Mus musculus: one gene and its partners. The protein of the gene in region 5 interacts with the protein of the main gene of each other region in a pairwise test. Links are inferred from orthologs where the notes say so. Each region holds a gene or a part of one and is shown on either strand. Other genes may lie near its edges.

What was found.
Region 1: the proteins of Krtap26-1 (region 5) and Ccnjl interact in binary tests that used the Homo sapiens proteins (3 or more experiments, as listed by UniProt). The two-hybrid records come from large-scale screens. The link is inferred for Mus musculus from reciprocal best matches to the Homo sapiens genes KRTAP26-1 and CCNJL.
Region 2: the proteins of Krtap26-1 (region 5) and Mgat5b interact in a two-hybrid assay, tested with the Homo sapiens proteins (3 studies listed by BioGRID and IntAct). The two-hybrid records come from large-scale screens. The link is inferred for Mus musculus from reciprocal best matches to the Homo sapiens genes KRTAP26-1 and MGAT5B.
Region 3: the proteins of Krtap26-1 (region 5) and Gdpd5 interact in a two-hybrid assay, tested with the Homo sapiens proteins (2 studies listed by BioGRID and IntAct). The two-hybrid records come from large-scale screens. The link is inferred for Mus musculus from reciprocal best matches to the Homo sapiens genes KRTAP26-1 and GDPD5.
Region 4: the proteins of Krtap26-1 (region 5) and Grn interact in binary tests that used the Homo sapiens proteins (3 or more experiments, as listed by UniProt). The two-hybrid records come from large-scale screens. The link is inferred for Mus musculus from reciprocal best matches to the Homo sapiens genes KRTAP26-1 and GRN.

Annotation. Positions count from the first base shown.
Region 1 is NC_000077.6:43,577,167-43,580,970, reverse strand, and holds part of Ccnjl (cyclin-J-like protein), read right to left. Parts: intron 1,288-3,804; coding exon 985-1,287; intron 1-984.
Region 2 is NC_000077.6:116,942,775-116,946,578, reverse strand, and holds part of Mgat5b (alpha-1,6-mannosylglycoprotein 6-beta-N-acetylglucosaminyltransferase B), read right to left. Parts: intron 1,715-3,804; coding exon 1,599-1,714; intron 1,088-1,598; coding exon 1,014-1,087; intron 108-1,013; coding exon 1-107. UniProt on the Homo sapiens protein: Glycosyltransferase that acts on alpha-linked mannose of N-glycans and O-mannosyl glycans.
Region 3 is NC_000073.6:99,457,871-99,461,674, reverse strand, and holds part of Gdpd5 (glycerophosphodiester phosphodiesterase domain-containing protein 5), read right to left. Parts: intron 2,902-3,804; coding exon 2,789-2,901; intron 1,717-2,788; coding exon 1,562-1,716; 3' UTR 1-1,561. UniProt on the Homo sapiens protein: Glycerophosphodiester phosphodiesterase that promotes neurite formation and drives spinal motor neuron differentiation.
Region 4 is NC_000077.6:102,428,933-102,433,403, reverse strand, and holds the start of Grn (progranulin precursor), read right to left. Parts: upstream 2,898-4,471; 5' UTR 2,864-2,897; intron 440-2,863; 5' UTR 433-439; coding exon 295-432; intron 180-294; coding exon 54-179; intron 1-53. UniProt on the Homo sapiens protein: Secreted protein that acts as a key regulator of lysosomal function and as a growth factor involved in inflammation, wound healing and cell proliferation. Regulates protein trafficking to lysosomes, and also the activity of lysosomal enzymes.
Region 5 is NC_000082.6:88,646,156-88,649,295, forward strand, and holds Krtap26-1 (keratin-associated protein 26-1), read right to left. Parts: upstream 1,642-3,140; 5' UTR 1,577-1,641; coding exon 929-1,576; 3' UTR 669-928; downstream 1-668. UniProt on the Homo sapiens protein: In the hair cortex, hair keratin intermediate filaments are embedded in an interfilamentous matrix, consisting of hair keratin-associated proteins (KRTAP), which are essential for the formation of a rigid and resistant hair shaft through their extensive disulfide bond cross-linking with abundant cysteine residues of hair keratins.

The DNA of each region.
Region 1 (3,804 bases), on a different chromosome or scaffold from region 5:
GTGTGTGTACAGAAGCCATCACTTTCTTCTATGTCATTATGATGAGATGCCTCAGTCTCTCTGTGGCTCCAAATTGCAAGGGGAACTGTTGGCTTAATGAGGCTTTTGTTTGAGTCCATGAGAAAATACACATACATACACACACACACGCACACACACACTCAGAAATACAGAGACACAGAAAGAGACAGACAGATAGACACTGCAAGTGTTGCTCCTTGGCAGCCATCTATCTTGCTTTTTTTTTTTTTTTTTTTTTTTGGTTTTTTGAGACAGGGTTTCTCTGTATTGCTCTGGCTGTCCTGGAACTCACTTTGTAGACCAGGCTGGCCTCGAACTCAGAAATCCACCTGCCTCTGCCTCCAAGTGCTGGGATTAAAGGTGTGCGCCACCACGCTCAGCTTATATCTTGCTTTTTGAGAGAGGGTCTCACACTGGAACCTGGGCCTTATTGATCATGCTGCTCACTAGCTAGCAAGCACCTGAGATTCTTCTGTCTCTGCCTCCCTATCTCTTGGATTGCAGGTGTGTCTGTCACTACGTCTGGCTTTCTCTGTGCATTCTAATGCCTGACTACAGAGCTCCTCACACGTTCACAGCAAGCACATTATAGCCTGGGCTGTCTTCCCAGCACTCCAGACACACCAACTTACTACTGCCAATGCAGATGTGAACACTGTCACCTGCCCCATCCTATTTAATCTGTGCAATGACAGCCCCTTGGGAATGATCTACTTGTGAGTTGGTGTGATTTAAAGGTTCCCATATGAAAACTTCCCAGGTGAGTTGCTGGTCTCTAGGTACTGGTGATGTTTGGGTAAGCTGCTATTTTGTTTCTGCATTATGCTGCTATAGCACTGAATATATCCTGCATTTCTTTGCAAAGATACGGGCATGGGGGTTTGAGGCATGAAAGAAGGCCCTCTCTAGATGGCACCCATCCCAGCCTCCCATGCCTTCAGCCCCCTGGCTCTATGCTCTCACCTTGCAGGGTAACTTCTAGGAAGTAGTGAGCATACTCCTTGAGGCACTCTTTGGTCTTTCGGAGGCAGGTGGTGGGCCAGGCGTGGCAGTGGTGGTCCTTCTGGCTGATGGAGGCCAAGAGGTAGTAGTCCAGAAAGTGGGCGGGCGTGGGCAGGCAAAGGTCCCAGCTGAAAGCCTCCAGGAGCAGAAGTTCTGTGGTCAGCAGCTCCTTCTTGGTGAGGGAGAAGTTTTGGCTGCTCAGGATCCTTGTATTGTTTATCTGCTCCAATTTAGGCACGCGGTCTTCCCTGTCTTCAAACTTACCTACGGGGAGGCAGAAGCACAACTTACTAGAGTAACTGAACCCAGGATAGCAAAATCTCACCTATGATGTCCGGATGGTGTTGACAATACAGACAGGAAGGAAGGGTAAGAGGGACTGCCCGGGAATAAAAGGTTGTATTTGGATCTGGAATCCTCAAGCCATCATGTCCTGCTATATCACTGTGATGAGATGTCTCAATCTTTCTGTGGCTCCAAATTGCAGGGGAAACTGATGGCTTAATGAGGCTTTTGTTTGTGTCCACGGAGAAAACGCAGAGAAAATGCAGACGAATGCTCAGATAGACGCCTAGAACATCCAAGGCACTGGAGAGCAGTCAGGGGCAGCTTTCAGGTTCCCACATTCTCTGTCTGGCCATCACCAGTCCAGGCAGAGCCATACAGCTTTGCAAGTCTGACCCCATCTTGCTAGGTGTGGAAGAGGCTGTCCACAGCTCGCCACTGTCTTCCATGGACCTCCTATTCTAACCATGCCAGTTTTAGTTTGAGTTGCCTTGGAAACAAGTTTGCTTGGAAGGTGATTTCAAAAAAAGACTGGCAAACTGGGGGGAGGCAAGAGGGAAAGGAAGAGAGCCCTAAAGAAATCATTGAGAGGTGCAGCGGTGGACACCTGGAGCCTGACCACATATGAAGGGATTCTGAAAAACAGTTAAAAATACAGGCTTTAGACCTTGGGTTATACCCTCAATAGCCATAAACAGGGGCTTCTCTAGCCCTAAGGGTCAAGACTAGAAGCTATTGGGGGACATGGTAGGCCCACTTGGTGAGGCTCTGCAGGGTGGAGGCCTCCAGACTAGGCACTGCTTTCTCAGGATACCACTTCACATCTGGTAGTGGATCCCATCTGTCTTAGCTAGGGTGTTACTGCTGTGAGCAGACACCATGACCAAGGCAACACTTATAAAGGACAACATTTAATTGGGGCTGGCTTACAGGCTCAGAGGTTCAGTCTATTTTCATCAAGGTGGGAGCATGGCAGCATCTAGGCAGGCATGGTGTAGGCAGAGCTGAGAGTTCTACATCTTCATCTGAAGGCTGCTAGTGGTAGACTCACTTCTAGGCATCGAGGACTACGGTATTAAAGCCCACACCCACAGTGACACGCCTACTCCAGCAAGGCCACACCTCCTAATAGCACCACTCCCTGGGCCAAGCATATTCAAACCATGATACTATCATTGGCAGGTCTTTGAAAGCACTACGTCTCCTGGCCTTGTCTGCAGAGCTCTGTAGCCCAGAAAACCCTTCTCCATCCCTTCTTCACTCAGCCAAGCTTGATGTATCCTTCACTTCCAAGTCACTGTCTTGGGCAAGCCTGCCCTAATTGAGCCACTTGAGGGTCAGCCTGGACCTGGTCACCTGTGATCTCCATGCAGCCTCATAGGGTGCAGAGCAGCTGCTGAGGGACCCTGTTGGGAGGGGCACAGATGCCTCATGGCTGTGGCCATTGACTCTCGGACCCCATTACTTACCAGCCTCTCTGGAAAGATTAGAAGCACCCACCCTAGGCTGCTCGGCAGACACTCCTATTCTAAATGCAAGGATGCTGGGGCAAAGCGAAATGAATCTCTGGGTGCCCTGGGATCTGTCTTATTAGGGACCCAGCAACAGCCCTGACAGCTGGGTGGAGATGAGAGGGTAATTGGATATATACACAACAGGGAGAACGCAGAGACCGCTCTTTCTGGTCAGGGCCAGTCTCCTTCCAGAGCGCAGTTTGCTGCTGCAGTGGGGATGCCCGCAGTGGGTGTGGCCTCCATGGAGAGCTTGGGGGCAGGGTAAGCACAAACTGTCCAAGCAGGGAAAAGCTTCTCTAAGGCTGCAATTGGTGTCCCACTGGCATGTGATGCTCATATCCAGTTCCCCTCTTCCTTACCCGAGGATGTGATCCCGTGGACCGAGGACCCTCCTCCTTTTTTTACTGCTCTCACTCATCCAGTGACTTTCTAAGCTTAGTTGAAAACCCTGTTAACATCACCACCTCCCGATTCTAAGACCTCCTGTAGGTGGACAAATGAGTGGATGGGCAGTTCTTCTCTCTTGCACGGGAACTATACTATTTGCAGTTTCTCTGGGGAGTTTATACCTCCTATGTTTTTCTCCAATAACCATATATAAATTTAACTTTTTGTTTGTTTTTTTTTTTTTTGAGACAGGGTTTCTCTGTGTATCCTTGGCTGTCCTGGAACTCACTTTGTAGACCAAAAAAGTTGTCTGTGAAGTCAGAAATCCGCTTGCCTCTGCCTCCCAAGTGTTGGAATTAAAGGCATGCACCACTACTGCCCGGCAAATTTAACTTTTTAACTTTTTAAATTTTCCTTTAAAGAGTAAAGAAAATCCAGGTGTGGTGGCACACGCCTTTAATCCCAGCACTCGGGAGGCAGAGGCAGGCAGATTTCTGAGTTTGAGGTCAGCCTGGTCTACAAAGTGAGTTCCAGGGCAGCCAGGGCTACACAGAGAAACCCTGTCTAGAAAAACCAAAACCAAACCAAACCAAAA
Region 2 (3,804 bases), on a different chromosome or scaffold from region 5:
GGACAGAACCACTCAACCTCACTGAGGTAGATGAGGAAGGAGCACTCAGTGCCGTCTACTCCAAAGAAGGCGTAGCAGGGGTCAGAGGTCCAGCGGGCGCGCATCCACTGTGAAAAACATCAGGCCTGGGTAGGCAGCCAGGAACCCACACACCACCGCATGGACTCCCCTAGCCACAGGGTCCCCAAGATCTCGCCGTGAGGCCTGCCCCAACCTAAAGATGCAGCAGAACGCTAGAGACATACAACTGGGAGAGAGAGGCTGGGCCAAGGTCAGCCAGCCCTCGACAACTGAGGACCAGAAAAGGAGGTAAGTCAGCTTCCCTGGAGCCTCACAGAGGAGGGCCTCGGACCTGAGACTTGGCAGACGTAAAGAGGCCAAGCACCAACGACAAGGTCCAGGAAATTCAGCAGCCACAGCCCTTGTGCCCCCTGTCTCCTCATCTTAATTAGAGGCGGGGTCATAGGCATCCTTTATGGGGGCCAGGGCCAGGGAAGTTCTTTCCACAGGGGCTCCATGTGATCTCTAAGGAAGGGGTCTGCAGCCCCGTAGCCTATCCCTTAAAGGCTCATAGACAGCTCGAGAAGCTGTCTTTAAGGGTGTGAATCGGTTCTCTTCATGCACCGACATCATGCAGTCAAAAACACCCCTGGAGGTGATCAGGAGGGGTCCTTGGTCCAACAAGCCATGAGCTGGGCAGGGGGGACCAAGACTAGACTCATGCCATTTCTTGCCAAGATGTTAGAATGGGTCTCTAAGTGCACAAAGTTCCTAAAGGTGACAGGCTCAGAGGTCTTTGGGCTGATTATCATGGTAGGCCCAGTGGAGAAAGCATTTCTCTGAGGTTGGTCACCACTAGTTTGTGCTGGCTTAGGTACCTAGTTAACAGAGTCCAGCTGGGACAGAAATCCAGGGCTGAGCTAGAGTGGGCAGAGCCTGGAGGAGAAGCCTCCCACCTGTCTGATCTTCACCCTGCACCTTCCCCTCAGGGGGGGGGGTCCCCGAGGCCTCACCTCCACTTTCCCGGAACAGTCAGGGAACTTGGGGTCACTGGGTGCTTCACACTGGTCCCTCCGACCTTCAGACACTGCAAAAACAGAAGATGGCTTACTGAAACACCGGGGCCTGGAGGTAGCCAAAGAGAGAGGGCAAGGTGAAGAGGCCTGTGCTAGGACAGAGCAGTGGTCACCCTCCTGTTGCCCTCACCTGAGGTTTCTCCCACCCCACAGCCCTACTTCGCTTGCTCAGCCGCCTCCAGGCTCAGAGGAGCAAGCTCTTAAAACAGCTACAGAGTGGCCTACCAGATGGACACACCGCAAGCTCCCCACAAAATATACTCTTGTTTTCCTGAGAACGGCAGAGGGGCAGAAGCCTCTAGCTTTTCCCAAACCAAAAGGAACCACATCGGCCCACTCTGTCCTCCCCAACCTCCAGCAGGCCAGGGTGGGGTAGACCAGGTCCCCCTACTGAGAGCCTCAAGTAGGGCCCCCAAGAACTAGGCAAGCATTACCAGAGAAATGGGTCTTCTGGAGGCTCTGACCTATCCAGCAGGGCACTGGCCTCTGGGGACACAGGGCAATGTCCTGGCTGTGACGCACCCTTGCTATGCAGAATCAGGCTGTGGCGCAGGATCTGGTCCACCTTCACAGCGATGTCAGACACATTCTGGGCAATGGCCTGGATCCTTTCAATGAGGCTGGCCCCAGGGGTGAGCCTAGAGGGGAGGGGAGAGCCAGAGATAAGCCTTCCCATGGACAGTGAGCAGAGGCCACAGCGGAAACCAGGTGGGAGAGAAGCGGAGCTGGAGCTGCCTCTGCCCGACTCACACCTCGGACACAGCAGGAAAGCACACTTCTGGGCGAGTCTGCTGTGTTTACTGTGTCCTGACTCTGTCAGACACGGCACCTGGGACTGAAGCAGACAAAGAAACTTCTGTCTTCCTGCCAAGACCCTGAATAGATGAGCACAGGAACCCCCCCGGATGATAAAGGCCTTTTGCTAGGCACAGCCAGCTCATCTGAGTCTGTTCACACCAAGATAAGTTCACACCAAGATAAGTTCACACCAGCAACCTGGAGACCCGCCAGGGAACTAGCACTGGTTTGCTGAGAACCCATTCTTGTGTGTGTCTGTGTCTGTGTGTTTCCAGTGCATGTCTCTGTGTGTGAGTGTGTATGTATCTATGGGTGTGTATGTGGGGGGGTATGGTGTGTGTGTATGTGTGTGTCTGTGTATATGAGTGTATGTGTGTGTGTGTGTGTGTGTCTGTGTCTGTGACTCTGTGTTTCTGTGTATCTGTGTATATGTTTGTGTGTGTGAGTGTGTGTCTGTGTGTTTCTGTGTGTATTTGTGTGTGTCTGTGTCTGTGTGCTATGTCTGTGTGTGTCTGTGTGGTGTATTGTGTGTGTGTATGAGTATGTGTGACTATGTGTGTGAGTGTGTGACTGTAACTGTGTGTGTACATTTCTGTGTGTGTATATGTGACTGTATGTCTGTGTGTGTGCGTGTGTATGTGCGACTGTGTGTGTCTCTGTGTGTGTGTATATGTGATTGTGTGTGTCTCTGTGTCGGTGTGTGTGTGTGTGTGTGTATGTGTGTGTACATGTGTGACTGTGTATCTGTGTGTGTGTGTACATGTGTGACTGTGTATCTCTGTGGATGTGTGTTATCAGAGTGTGTGGTGTGTGGTGGGGGAGGAGGCGGGGCACAGTTGACTAGTATCTTCCTCTACTACTTTTCATATTATAGAGGAAGGGTTGCTTACTGGACCTGCTGCTTCCTGATTGGCTAGATGGGCTGAGCAGCAAGGACCCACTTGTCTCAGACTCCCCAGGGCTGGGATAATAGGCATGGGACAAATGCATTAAGCTTTTTACTCAAGTGCAAGAACAGCAAATGCTCTTAAGTGCTGAGCCATTTCTAGCACCTCCTCCCACCCCCCACTAACTTAAAGATTTATTTTAGGGGCTGCAGAGATGGCTCAGAGGTTAAGAGCTGACTGTTCTTCCAGAGGTCCCGAGTTCAATTCCCAACAACCACATGGTTGGCTCACAACCATCTGTGATGGGATCTCATGGCCTCTTCTGGTGTGTCTGAAGACAACTACAGTGTACTTATATACATAAAACAAACAAACAAACAAACAAATAAATAATCTTTTTAAAATATTGTTTGTTTGTTTGTTTGTTTGTTTGTTTGTTTTGCTGGTTGTGGTGGTGCACGCCTTTAATCCCAGCACCCAGAAGGCAGAGGCAGGAAGATCACTGTGAATTTAAGGGCAGCTTGCTCTACACAGTGAGTTCCAAGACAGCCAGAGCTTCAGAGTAAGGCCATGTTTCAAATAAATTAATAAGACAAACACGCACACGCACACGCGCGCGCGCACACACACACACACACACACACACACGCAGCTGCCTACGGATTCCCTGGAACTGGAGTTACGGATATTTGTGAGCCACCTAGATTGGGAGCAGGGATCTGAACGCTGGTCCTCATGACTGAGCAGCAAGGGCTCTACCACGGTGCCATCTCTTCGACTCCCTTCCGTTATTCTACCACAGTCTCATGTAGCCCATACTGGTCTCAAGCTTACTATGTGTGGAAGATGACCTTGAACTTCTGATCCTCCTGTGTTCCCCCCCCCCCCAAGTTCTCGAAGTGAGCACCACTGTGTCTGGTCCACGTGGTGCTGGGGATGGGACCCAGGGCTAAGCAGGCATTCTACCAGCTAAGCCACATCCACAGCCCACTTCCCTGGATCTTGAAAGAGCCCTGGACACGGACATTAAACCCTCTATTTTT
Region 3 (3,804 bases), on a different chromosome or scaffold from region 5:
TATACCACGTGTGTACAATAAGGGCCAGTCACAGATAGCTGTGAGTGTTCTGGCGCTAGGTATTGGTTCTTAACTGCTGAGCCATCTCCCCAGCCCACTGGAGTTTATTTTTTTAGAAAGACATTTTGGGGGCTGGAGGGATGGCTCAGTGGTTAAGAGCTCTGGCTGCTATTCTAGAGGACCCAAGTTTAGTTCCCAGCACCTCTATCAAGTGGCTCACCACTGCTTGCAACTCCAGCTCCGGGAGAGCCAACATACTATTCTAGACTCTGAGGGTGCCCCCATGCAAGTGGCATGAATGCATGCACACAAATGCAAACTTTTTAAAATTAAAAAAGGTAAGTTCTTAAAAAGCATGTGCCACCCTCCCCCCAAAGACAGTTTTTAAGCATAAGAGTTAAGGGTGTGGATGTAGGCTTCTCAAAGAGTAGCCCTGGCTTTGCCTATGTGACTTTGGATGGTCACTTTAGCATCCTGCTCCACATAACTGAAGGGTGTTCACTGGGTGTACAATTCAGGGGCTGCTGAAGTCCTGGCATCATGGCTGATCAAGGGAGGGACTCAGATATCCAGTAGTCTTCACTTTCATCTGCAAAATGGCTCTTCATCAAAACCCGGGGCCAACACCTAATCCCAACCCCAGCATGCTGGGTCCCCAAACTGCCACTGACAATTCAGAGACAACACACATCAAGATGGCAGCTTTAATTGTCTTTGCCCTTGGGTTCCTTCTACTGTAGGCAACTTTGGCCAGAGGCCCATGCTTGACTGAGCCCAATGTGCTTCGCCCAGGTGGCCCATTGCCCTGTGGCCGCTGCTGTGGGAACCTGAGGTCAGATCAGTCTGTCGTTCACCTGGTCCTCAAGGCTTCTTCTGCCCCAGAGGCCTGCTGGACAGTTGGGTGTGAGGCAGGACAGCCCTGAGCCTGTGATTCCGGTCCTCTCCAGCTGCTTCTCAGGGACAGAGAGGTCAGTGGTAGAAGGGAGCTGGTTGGGAGGAACGCATCTCCACCACAGCCACTGCTTTCTTCTCCTGAGATGAACTTCCTTGTGCTTTGAGATGGGTGCAGAGCGTAGAAACACCCCCCCCCCCCCAAGAGGGAGGCCCAGCCAACGTCCTCAAGGCAGGGGTGAGAACATTAGTCATCTCACAGCACAGACAGATAAATAGAGAGGTGTGGGCATAGGGAGACATCCACGTCCTCCACTTGCTTGTGGCACACGGCACAGCCCAGTGACTCACCAACCCTTCCAGGCTGGGAGGCCAAGGATGACTATGAGAGTGGACCAGGAGATCAGGCCTTCGCTTCCTGGATGAAAAGCCCCAGGCCTGCAGGGGCATCTAGAGGCTGGAGTCCTGGTCCAGCTGAGCCTCAGCGGAGAGGGCCCCTTTGGTCACCCCCCCACTCATGCAAGAGAGACTGGAACAGACAAAGGAGCTTGGAGCACATAAGTAGGCTGAGGAGCCAGCTCCCGGGCCCTCTAGGTGCAGCTTCTTTTCATCAGACCTTCCTCTCTTCTAGGTTCTACCTTGGGTACAAGTTGGGCAGACAGATCTTCAGCTAATGCCCACTCTGCTCTGTGACGGTCTTGGCACGGCTGCCAGCATTTCGAGGGCCCACGGGGGTGGCTGTGCTGTTGGCATTAGCATAGGTGTCGTAACTGCTGTCTGAACATACGGAGAGCTCATCGGAGACTTCCACACCATCACTGATCTCTGTTTGACCAGAGGAGACAGAATGTGAGCGAGGAAGATTGGCTCTGAGGACAGGGGGACAGGCAGAGGGAAAGGAAGGCACTCGGAGACAGATGTAATCACTGGTTCCAGTCAGCATGGAGCCTGTGGGCACTGAGCCTGGCGTTCAGGGGCCTCCTCAGTCCCTCCTAGGCCCTTAGTCCTCTGCCCCCTGGAACTCCTGTTGCAGAAACCTAATGCACCCTCGGGGGCTTGTTACCCAGTGTTTACTTTGCTCCGGGCATTTGCACACGTTGCCTTCTCTCTGTCCAGTGTCTTCTCTCCCCAGCAACAGCTCTTTTCCTAAAATCTAGCTCAAGCTTCCCATCCCTGGTATGGGATGCCTACTAGACATCTCCTTGATTCCCCAAGCTGGGCTGGGACTTCATATTTCAAGCCAGCCCAGTTCATCCAGCCCTCTCACGATCTACAATCGCCCGTGTCCTGGTGTTGGGAGGTGACTGGGCAGAGCCGAGGTTCTGGAAGGTGGCTCTGTGGAATGCTGCTTGGTTCTTTACGCCCAGACAAGCAGCACCTTGGGGCACACCCGTGTCCACAGAAGCACTCCTCCTAGTGTCTGATCAAGCCGTTACCCAGGCACCTCCAGTCTCCTTCACACCCAGCCACATCACCACCTCAAACCTTTCTTGCTGCCCCAGGGAGCCCTGAGCACACTTTCTGACTCAGTTCTTCTCTGAGGAGCCTCAGTGACACCCAGTTCCGCACAGGTCTTTACAGCTGCCTTCATAGACCAGGAATGCCAGCAGGGACGGAAAAGAACGCTGTTGTCACTTGTGGAAGTCATGTGTGAACCAAGGAAAGGCCTTGGGCCTTCACACAAACACCCACCCCCACACTCCAGCTTGTCACATTTGTTCACCAACCCACGGCTCATACTAAGCCTCAAGATCTGGGGTTGTGTGATGAGGACACACATGTGTTTCTGTCTCTTGGTACGTGCGTGGGTGTGGACCTGGAAAGAGGGATATGCCATCCACCTGTCCTGATGTATTACATGTGTGCCACCTAATCCAGGGCCCGCACAGGCTGTCACCTGAGAAGATGAGTTTTTCTTTCATGATGCTGACGTCCCGGCTGGTCCGGCGTACAGCGGCGCTCAGCATGATCTGCTCTGGGTTGTAACTCCGTATACCACCCAGGCGCCACCTGCAGAGACGGCCCAGTGAGCATCAGGTCCTCCCCCAGCCTCCCAGGAGCAGAGACCCTGCCCAGAGCCTCTCCTCATGTGGCCTGAGAGACCCATGATCCAAATGGGGAAGCTGAGGCCCAGAGAGGGGTAGTGTACTGATTTCCAGCCAGGGCCCTCCTGCCTCTCTCCCACCTCCTTTATCAGCCACCCTGACCCGGAAAGGCAGTTTTATATGTTATACCCTGGCTCTCGTTGGATGCGACAGTCTTGGGAGGAAGGAGCTTAGCAGATAGGACACTGATGACCTCCTATAAACCAACTAACACAACAGGCTGAGCAAAACCAGAAGGGGCCAAAGAGGACAGTGACAGTGAGGTTTTGCTTAGGACTAGCCCTCACAGGTCCCCGGACAAAGATGCTAGAGGAACATGGTCTGGAGTTATCTGCTTAGAAATAAGCACCCCTGACTCCCCAGGAGATGGACCCCTGCTGGGTGGTTGGAGGCAGCTAAGACTCCATATAAAACTCACTGTGGGGTTATAGATGGGGCCGACACAGCAGAAACGGACAGACAGGGTAGTAGGACAGACAGAGGGGAAGCAGGAGGCTGGAGGGGAAGGCACTGCGCCTCGGTGGGCCAGTGCTTGTTCCTCTGGCTCCTTGGCCGGCCCCGAGTGCCAGCCTCGATGCCGGGCACGCTGTGAGGCTAGGCAAGTGTTTGTTGAATCAATGAATGAACAGGTGAGGCCCACAGTAAGTATCTCTCTCCAGATTCATCTCCCATGGCTCCCTGTCCTCTCTCTGGCTATTCCTGACCCACAGGAGACAATGACCCTGCTGGGGCTGTGCCTGTCTGCTGGGCTCAGAACCACACAGGCAGCGCCTGTGTACTCTACAAGTGGAATGAGAATGCGCGAGTA
Region 4 (4,471 bases), on a different chromosome or scaffold from region 5:
TAAGCACACACACACACACACACCCCAACTCCCCAAGCCAATGGCACTGTCACCTTAGAGAACGGGCAGCAGCTGGAAGTCCCAGACACAGTGAGAAGACAAGAATAGCCAGCAGGACAGTGGCCATGGGTCTGGCAGGAGCCATCTAGATGATGGCTCGTTATTCTAGGCCATGTGTCCTGGAAAGAAGAGATGACATCAACCAAAGGGTCTGTGCCAGCCTTGCTCTGGTCAATCCAAGGTAGCCAGCCCTTCAAAAGGCCCGGGGTGCCAACTGGGGCAGGAGGCACTCACCAGAAGAGGGTTACAGCAGCTGTAGTTGGCTCCTCCCTGGTCAAGGCAGCAGGCAACAGGGCAGAACTGCCCATCTGGACACTGTGTTCCGGCTACCAGCCCTGCCGCGAAGGCCAGCCAGCTCATCAGGACCCACATGGTCTGCCTACAAATGCCAAGCAAAGTTTGGCAGCCACCTTAAACTCTGTGCCACCTTCTACTCTGAGGCCACGCACTCCCCTGTGCTCTGACCAAGGCCCTGGCTTCATTGAGTCTTCTCAACAAGCCAACAGGAAAGCAAGCAGATGTGTCGCTTGTGTCAGCGTCCTACCAGTGTGCAGCAAGCGCACATGCGTCAGCTGGCACACACTGTGGGCATGAACACGTGTGGATTCATGGCCTCACATACGGCTGAGACTCTGGGTAAGTGGGGGGGGGGGGCACGGGGTATGGCAGTCAGGAAGGCATGTGGCTTTTGTGGCTTTATCTATGGGACTGTGGGCTAACTGGGAGGCAGAGGAGACCTCAGCAGACACAGGAGGATGGCCAGCCCCACTGCCGGCACTGAACTGCCACCTGTAGCTTTCAAAAGCCTTGGGGGATGGAGAGGGACAGTCATCAGTCACATGATCATATGGGAAACCGAGCAGTGGAGAAAGTTGTAAAAACAGAAGTGCAGTGGTCAGTGGGGTCTGGTCTGGCTTCCCTATGGGCCAGCCACCGCCTACCCACAACTGTCCCCCCACCCCACCCAAGGGAAGGGGACACAGAGACTGGATCAGCCTTAAAGCTAACTTCATGGTGAGCCCTTCCCGACATCACCAGGGCACCTCAAACGGACCGCCTCCGTCTCTCCCCCCTCAGAAACCGAAACTCAGCTGCAAGTGGGAAGACCCAGCACAGTGCCTCACTGCCTCAGCAGGAGGAACCGAGCCTCTCACTTCCCTAATAAGCCTTTCCCCAGCCCAGCTGGCCTACCCAGCAACCCAGAATGACCCAACAATATTCAAAGACCCTCTAGGGAGTCTTTCTCCCTCTCCTTACTGTATTTCTCTGCAACAACTATGCAAAACAGTAATTATAATATTACTTTCACTTTTCAAATCCATGCCTAAGGATCAAGTCAGGGAAAAAAGACGGGATATGGGACTGGGTTCATATGCCAACTGGTCTCCCTGAATATTGTCAGAGAAGGACCCTGAATCCCAGAGGCCAGAGGTCCAAACAGGACAGGACAGAGCATTTTTCTGGCAGGTGACCCAAGCAGGATAGAAACAGGGTGGGAGCCGGGCGGTGGTGGTGCACACCTTTAATCCCAGCACTTGGGAGACAGAGGCAGACAGATTTCTGGTTTTGAGGCCAGCCTGGTCTACAGAGTGAGTTCCAGGACAGCCAGGGCTACACAGAGAAACCCTGTCTCGAAAAACCAAAAAAAAAAAAAAAAAAAAAAAATAATAATAATAATAATAATAATAATAATAAAATATTTAAAAAGTAGGTACAGAGACTTGGGTTTTAGTCCTGGAAGTGACACTCTATGTCAGAAATTGCTCCCTGTGTCTCAATTCTTCTCTGCCTGGACACTGGTGGCTATGAAAGACAGGAAATGCCACCCACACATGGCAGGCATGCTTTTGATCCCAGCATTTGGGAGGCTGAGGTAGGAGGGTTGCAAGTGCCAGGCCAACTTGGGCTATAAGGTGAATCCCAGGCCAGCCTGGGCTACATAGAAGGATCTGCCATCTTTCTCTTTCCTTCTCTAGGTCTTTTCAAGTGCCCTTTCACCTAATTCAAAGAACATCCCAGAGGCCATCTCCTAACCAGGAAGGGGTAGGGAAGACCCAGTTCCTCTCAACGGGGCTAGGGAGTGGTGAGCCCCTGGCCACCTCTACACTACACAGCTAGGGAGAACTGGAGCCTTTCAAAGCCCTAGCTCCGACATCTTCCACTAGGTGGCACCCCCCAACTCTGAGTGTCGAGGGGAAATGAATTTCCTAAAAGGTGAGCCAATCCAGATGAGAGGCAGCGGGGGAAAAGTGGCGGGGAGAGGCGGAAATTAGCTCTCTCGCCCCCCAAGAAAGGAAATAAAGCTGACACAACCCAGGGACTCAGCCATCACGCCCTGGTCCTGCTCGCAACCCCTTTGAGCTCTGGGGGCCAAGGGCCGGAGATCCCCACCCAATGCACGCCGCCGCAGAGAACACTTGCAGCGTCCGAAAGAGAAAGAGCCGGACCTGGAGACAGAGGTGGGAAGTACGGACAAGAGAGGAGCTGGCCCAAGAGTGGGGTGGTTCCTGTCCTGGAGAAAGGCCTGCAGCTTTCCGACATGCTGGGCAAGAGAAGCCTCTTATTGGGGGGGAGGGGGTGCGGGGAGGTGTCTCTACAACAACTGCCCCCACCCCTCCAAAAAAGAAAAGAAAAAAACAACCTCGTTAGTGCATCAGAAACCCCTAGGGGAGTTTCAAGAGGCAGGTCTTCTCTTGTCTCTGAGCTGAGACTCCAGAGGACCCTCAATTGCACAGGCAGCCTGGTCAGGCCTCTGGACCTCTGGACAGTAGCCGGGGAGATTGTCTGCAGAGGGTCCTCCTACCTGCGTCGGGGTCCGGGCTCCCTGGGAGGCATCTGGCGGTCAGCTCCAGGACTAGGGCTTGGCCGCACGATGGCCCGCCCACCTCAATTTCCATTAGCCATTGCTCGGAGATCCAGGGCTTCCATTGGTTACTTGTCTACGTAGAGGCGGGACTCTCCTGGAATGCTGTGTTTCTTTTCTACTCAGTTCACATTCCTCCTCCCTTTCCTCTTTCTCCCCACACCCCATTTCTAGGGATCATGTGATTAGAGAATCATATGACAACATAGCCCGCCTCCCCCAGGGCAGAGCTTGCTGGTTTGGGTTCTGGCGGCAGAGTGTTGCAGAGATGAGACACCTCATGCCTAAGGGCACCCACAGTTAGGAGAGCTGCCCTGAGGGCACGCGTTCAAGGTCGTTTACTGGAGGGTGTCTGCTTCTGGATCGGGACTTTTGTACATTCCTGTCTCTTCACGCCTGGCAGACAAGGACTCGAAACCAGTTGGAAGATGGTTGTGAGGGTGAAGATAAATAGTCCCCAGGTTTGAATGGGGAGAGTGGCTTAGACTAAATCTAATAAAGGTTCAAGGGCGAGTACCGGGCACTGTAGATGTGTGTAGGGAGGAGGCAGGAGATTGGCTCAAACTGGGGGGAAGAAGAGATTTAAATCCATATTGATAGCACTGCATTAAATTGAAGCTGAAAGAATTTTAAGAGGCTGATAAGGTGGGACAGAGGAACTTGAAACTAGATTGGGAAAGACAGTGAATCCTTTCCTTGGGTAGTTTATATCTTGTTCTTTACAGACAGCCTCTAGCAAGGGTTGAAAGCCACGTTCAAGATAAGGGCATTAGCCAAGTGTGTGGCACTGCCTGTGGAGTAGGCTGGTGGCTGTCGAGATGGAAGGGGTTTCCTTGTTTCAGCTGTCCCCACCTTCGAGGAATTGTTATGGTGGGTGAATAGAGACCATGGGGGTCAGCCATACAGTTCAGGACAGTGGGAGTCTTACATAGAGAGGAGTGCATGCAGGGTTGTGGAATTCCGTGAGGGCTTCTTACACTGGAGTCCCAGAAAGTGTGTAAGACTGGTGCATCATTCTGCATCCTGATGGTGTTAGCATAGGTGTTCCATGACATTCATACAGGTGTCCCCAGAACAGACCATTGCTTATGCTTCTAGTGAGACACAGCCATCTGCGGAGGCTGAGGAAGGGGTGCTGCTGAACCCCAGGAGTTGGAAACCAGACTCAGCAACATTGCAGCTCACCCTCTGAGTCAGGGTTTCCTGTGTTCCAGACGAGCTTCAGCTTGATAGATAGCTGACACAGAACTTCTCAGTTTTCTGCCCCCATCTCCCAAGCGCCACGATTGCAAGTGCAGATTGCCGTGTTTAGTTTCTGTGCTGCTGGGATTAGACCTAGGGCCTTGAGCATGCTGAGCTACAAGTGCTACCAACTGAGCTACATCCTAGACGCAGCACTGCCTCAAGGGGAAATAAAATGGGGAGCAGGTAAAAGCTTAACAAACCTGCTTCCTTTGTTTCACAAGACAGAAATGACTCCCAGAAACCACGACTTCTGACTTCTGCACACACACCATAGCATTAGCGCACCCCCAGACTTACATACGC
Region 5 (3,140 bases):
GCTCTGATAGTACATATCAGACTTCCTTACATCTCTGTCTCTTCTGCCCAACACACACGACTCTACAATACGTGAGTGTTCAATCGTTTCTTAGTTTGTTTACGTCTAAGGTTAATTAACGAATTTGAACTGTGTTGTGATATTTCCAGCAGATGGAGAAGGTCAAAGTGTTCTTGACAAAGGCATAAATAAAATGGTGATGATTATTTTTATAAGGATACATTTATGGAACACCATATGTCAGACAACGGTGTGGGTATACAGTACTTGCAATACTAAGTAGAAGGGGATAAATTGAGAGACGAAGCCAGGGCAGCGGCATCAAAGAAAGTACTTATGTCTTATGGGATCAGATCAAAGGGACCAACCTAGGCTTACACTAAAGCTTACTGCAGGGTTTGCAGTTAGAGAATAGTCTGGAGGATGTGTGTGCAATAGGAATCAGAGGTCAGAGATTAGAGTTGAGCTTTCCTTTTGACCATAACTTTGAGAAAGGTCATAGTTTGCTCCCCCATATTGTTCTGAAGCCATTATTCTCCTAAATAATAAGCCATTGCCCGGGTTATCAGGTAGCAAATACAATAGAACATCCCCTGGCAACCAGGTGAGGCTGCTCGTGCCTGCATTACAATGAAGTCATGAACGAAAAATCAACGCACTAGATTCTTAATTCTGAATTATCTCATTTATTATAGTGCAGATCATATCAGGTACACAGTTCCCTGCCTAAGCAACACTAGCAGCAATAGAAGCAGGAATTTTTACAACAAGGGAAAGATAAAAGCAAGTCACAGTGTGAAAGGAACAGTTTGCATTAACATAGACAGTGAGAACAAGAAAATGTAATCGCTACTCAGAAAGAAGCAAACAGCCAGAGTGTTGCAATTTTTATCCTGAGTCTTCATTGCTTTTCACTGGAACAAGGAAGCTACTGACCTCCTTGTGCAGAGCAAGAAGGACGACAAGTGCCAAACACAGGGATCGATGGTTGGCAACCACCGCAGACAGGCTGCAGAGGTCTCAGGCTGTTTGACACAATGTGAATGGTCTGAGGGCCATAGGTCACACAACCTGAAGGCCTGCATCCATAAGTGACAATGCCCAGAGGTCGGCAGCTATTGGATCCACAAGGGAGTGGGCGGTATCCACCAGATACACAGCTTACAGGACGGCAGTTGTTCATGAAAGGACTCACTGGCCGGCAACTGCTAGATACATAGCTCACAGGCCTGTAGGATGCTGGGAGGCAAGAGCCAGAGATGAAGGAAGACGCAGGAATATAGCCAGATCCTTGGCAGTGTCTGGGCACACAGTATGTCGAAGAGCAACAAGAGTTTTCAAAGCCGCTGGCTTCACGGCTGGGTGGCTGCCCACTGAGAGGTTCTGCAAAGGTCTCTGGGCAGTTGTCCATGAACCAGGTGTGATCTTGACAGCTGCTGGGGACGCAGAAGACCTCTCCACAGCCCATGTTTGTAGAGCAGAGGGCAATGGAGGAGCTGGCTGGGATGTGGCAGGTATTTCTGAGCGATCCAGAGCTGCAGTTGCCGGAGGAGGAGCAGTTGTTACGGCTAGCCATAGTGAACTTGAGAGAGTGGTAGTGGTCTAAGAGCAGCTGGGAGGGAGCACGTCAGGTGTGAGTCTGACCCTCATTCGTCTTCTCCCTTTATATATTCTCAGAGAGTGGCTGCTCTGTCTGCAGACTCATCTTCCTTGTTGTCTGAGGCTGCATCTAAACTCTCTCATACCCAGGAAGTAGCGCTCCTGCCTCCCATAAAACCGGATGATCCCTGAAATACCTTCCATCGATTGAGTATAACCATAAATCAGAGTGTCTGGGTTTTCATAGGGCCCCTGGTAAAGTTATCCAACCCAAACAGACACTTTGTAAAGTTATGGACTCAGTACAGTTCTAGTCACCAGAGCACAAATATTTTTCTTAGAATTCTTCCTTGGAATTGTCTTTGAAATTTGAAGCAAACTACTTTGAATAGTAGCAAACTACACATAACTAGCTGAGAAGTAATTCTATTCTCTTCGTAAAATGGGTATATATATATATAAAATCAAGAGGCTTGCAGGAGAAGATAAAAAAATCTTACAACTTTTATGATCAAAAGAATTTTAAAGGCCATCCTGGGAAAGACTCCTGCATGTTTTCCTTTATTTCACCATCTGAATAGAAAATGGTTTCCCATGAAAATATGTTTATTCAGAAAATGAGTGCTTGCTTCATTAAATTCTATAGATGAATAAACAGTCACTTGAGATTGTGCTTTGTCCGTGATGGTTTAGAATGTAGGTAATGAGATGTCGTTCAGTTAAAACGATAGACTCCAGGTTGAACAAGAACAAATTCATAAAGAGGGTTGGACAAAATGGCACTTATCATGAATCCAACAAACATATCTTACAATGTCATTCATATTACCACTGAAAGGCGTCATTCTGAGTAAAAAGAACAAATCCTTTTATGATGAACATGGCAGCGTTTATTTCCTACATCTGATCTCAATTTCCAAAAGGGATTCCATGCCTTGGTTGGTATAAATTCTTACATTAGAGTATATGCAAACTTTCGCTAGGTTTGAGTACTTTGAAGGCTATTTAAAAACTTGTATGTCTATGTCTTTACATATGTGGTTTAAATACATGGAAGTGGCCAGTCTCCACGATCCACTGCCGTTTTCACAGACTGGCATATCCAGTACCTCCAGTGGCTATTTTAATGGGAATTTAAATTATCTGCCAAATCTCAATTCCATTCCCTTTGGCTAGAAATTCAATTTAAATCACAGCACTTTCTTCTATTTTAATGTTCAATGGTCATGGCCACACTTATCAAGTCTCCCTCTGCCCAGGAGAGTAGAAAATATGAACTAGCGCATTGGTTTCTCTGCAGCAATGCAGGTCTCTTTTACCAGGAGGGATATGCGTGAAGATAAAGCCATATAGACTCTGAGGTCTTATGCTTATGTGCTAAATTGAGCTCAGAATAGGAGGTAGGAGCCATTACTCTTTGACAGTCTGTGCCTGGTGTCATTAAGGAGCCCATTCTGGCACCTCATCACCAGGTAATACTTTGTGTGCAGTAGCTGGAGTCTTCTTGTGCAACCTTGGACACATCTGCTGAGTGGCATTAG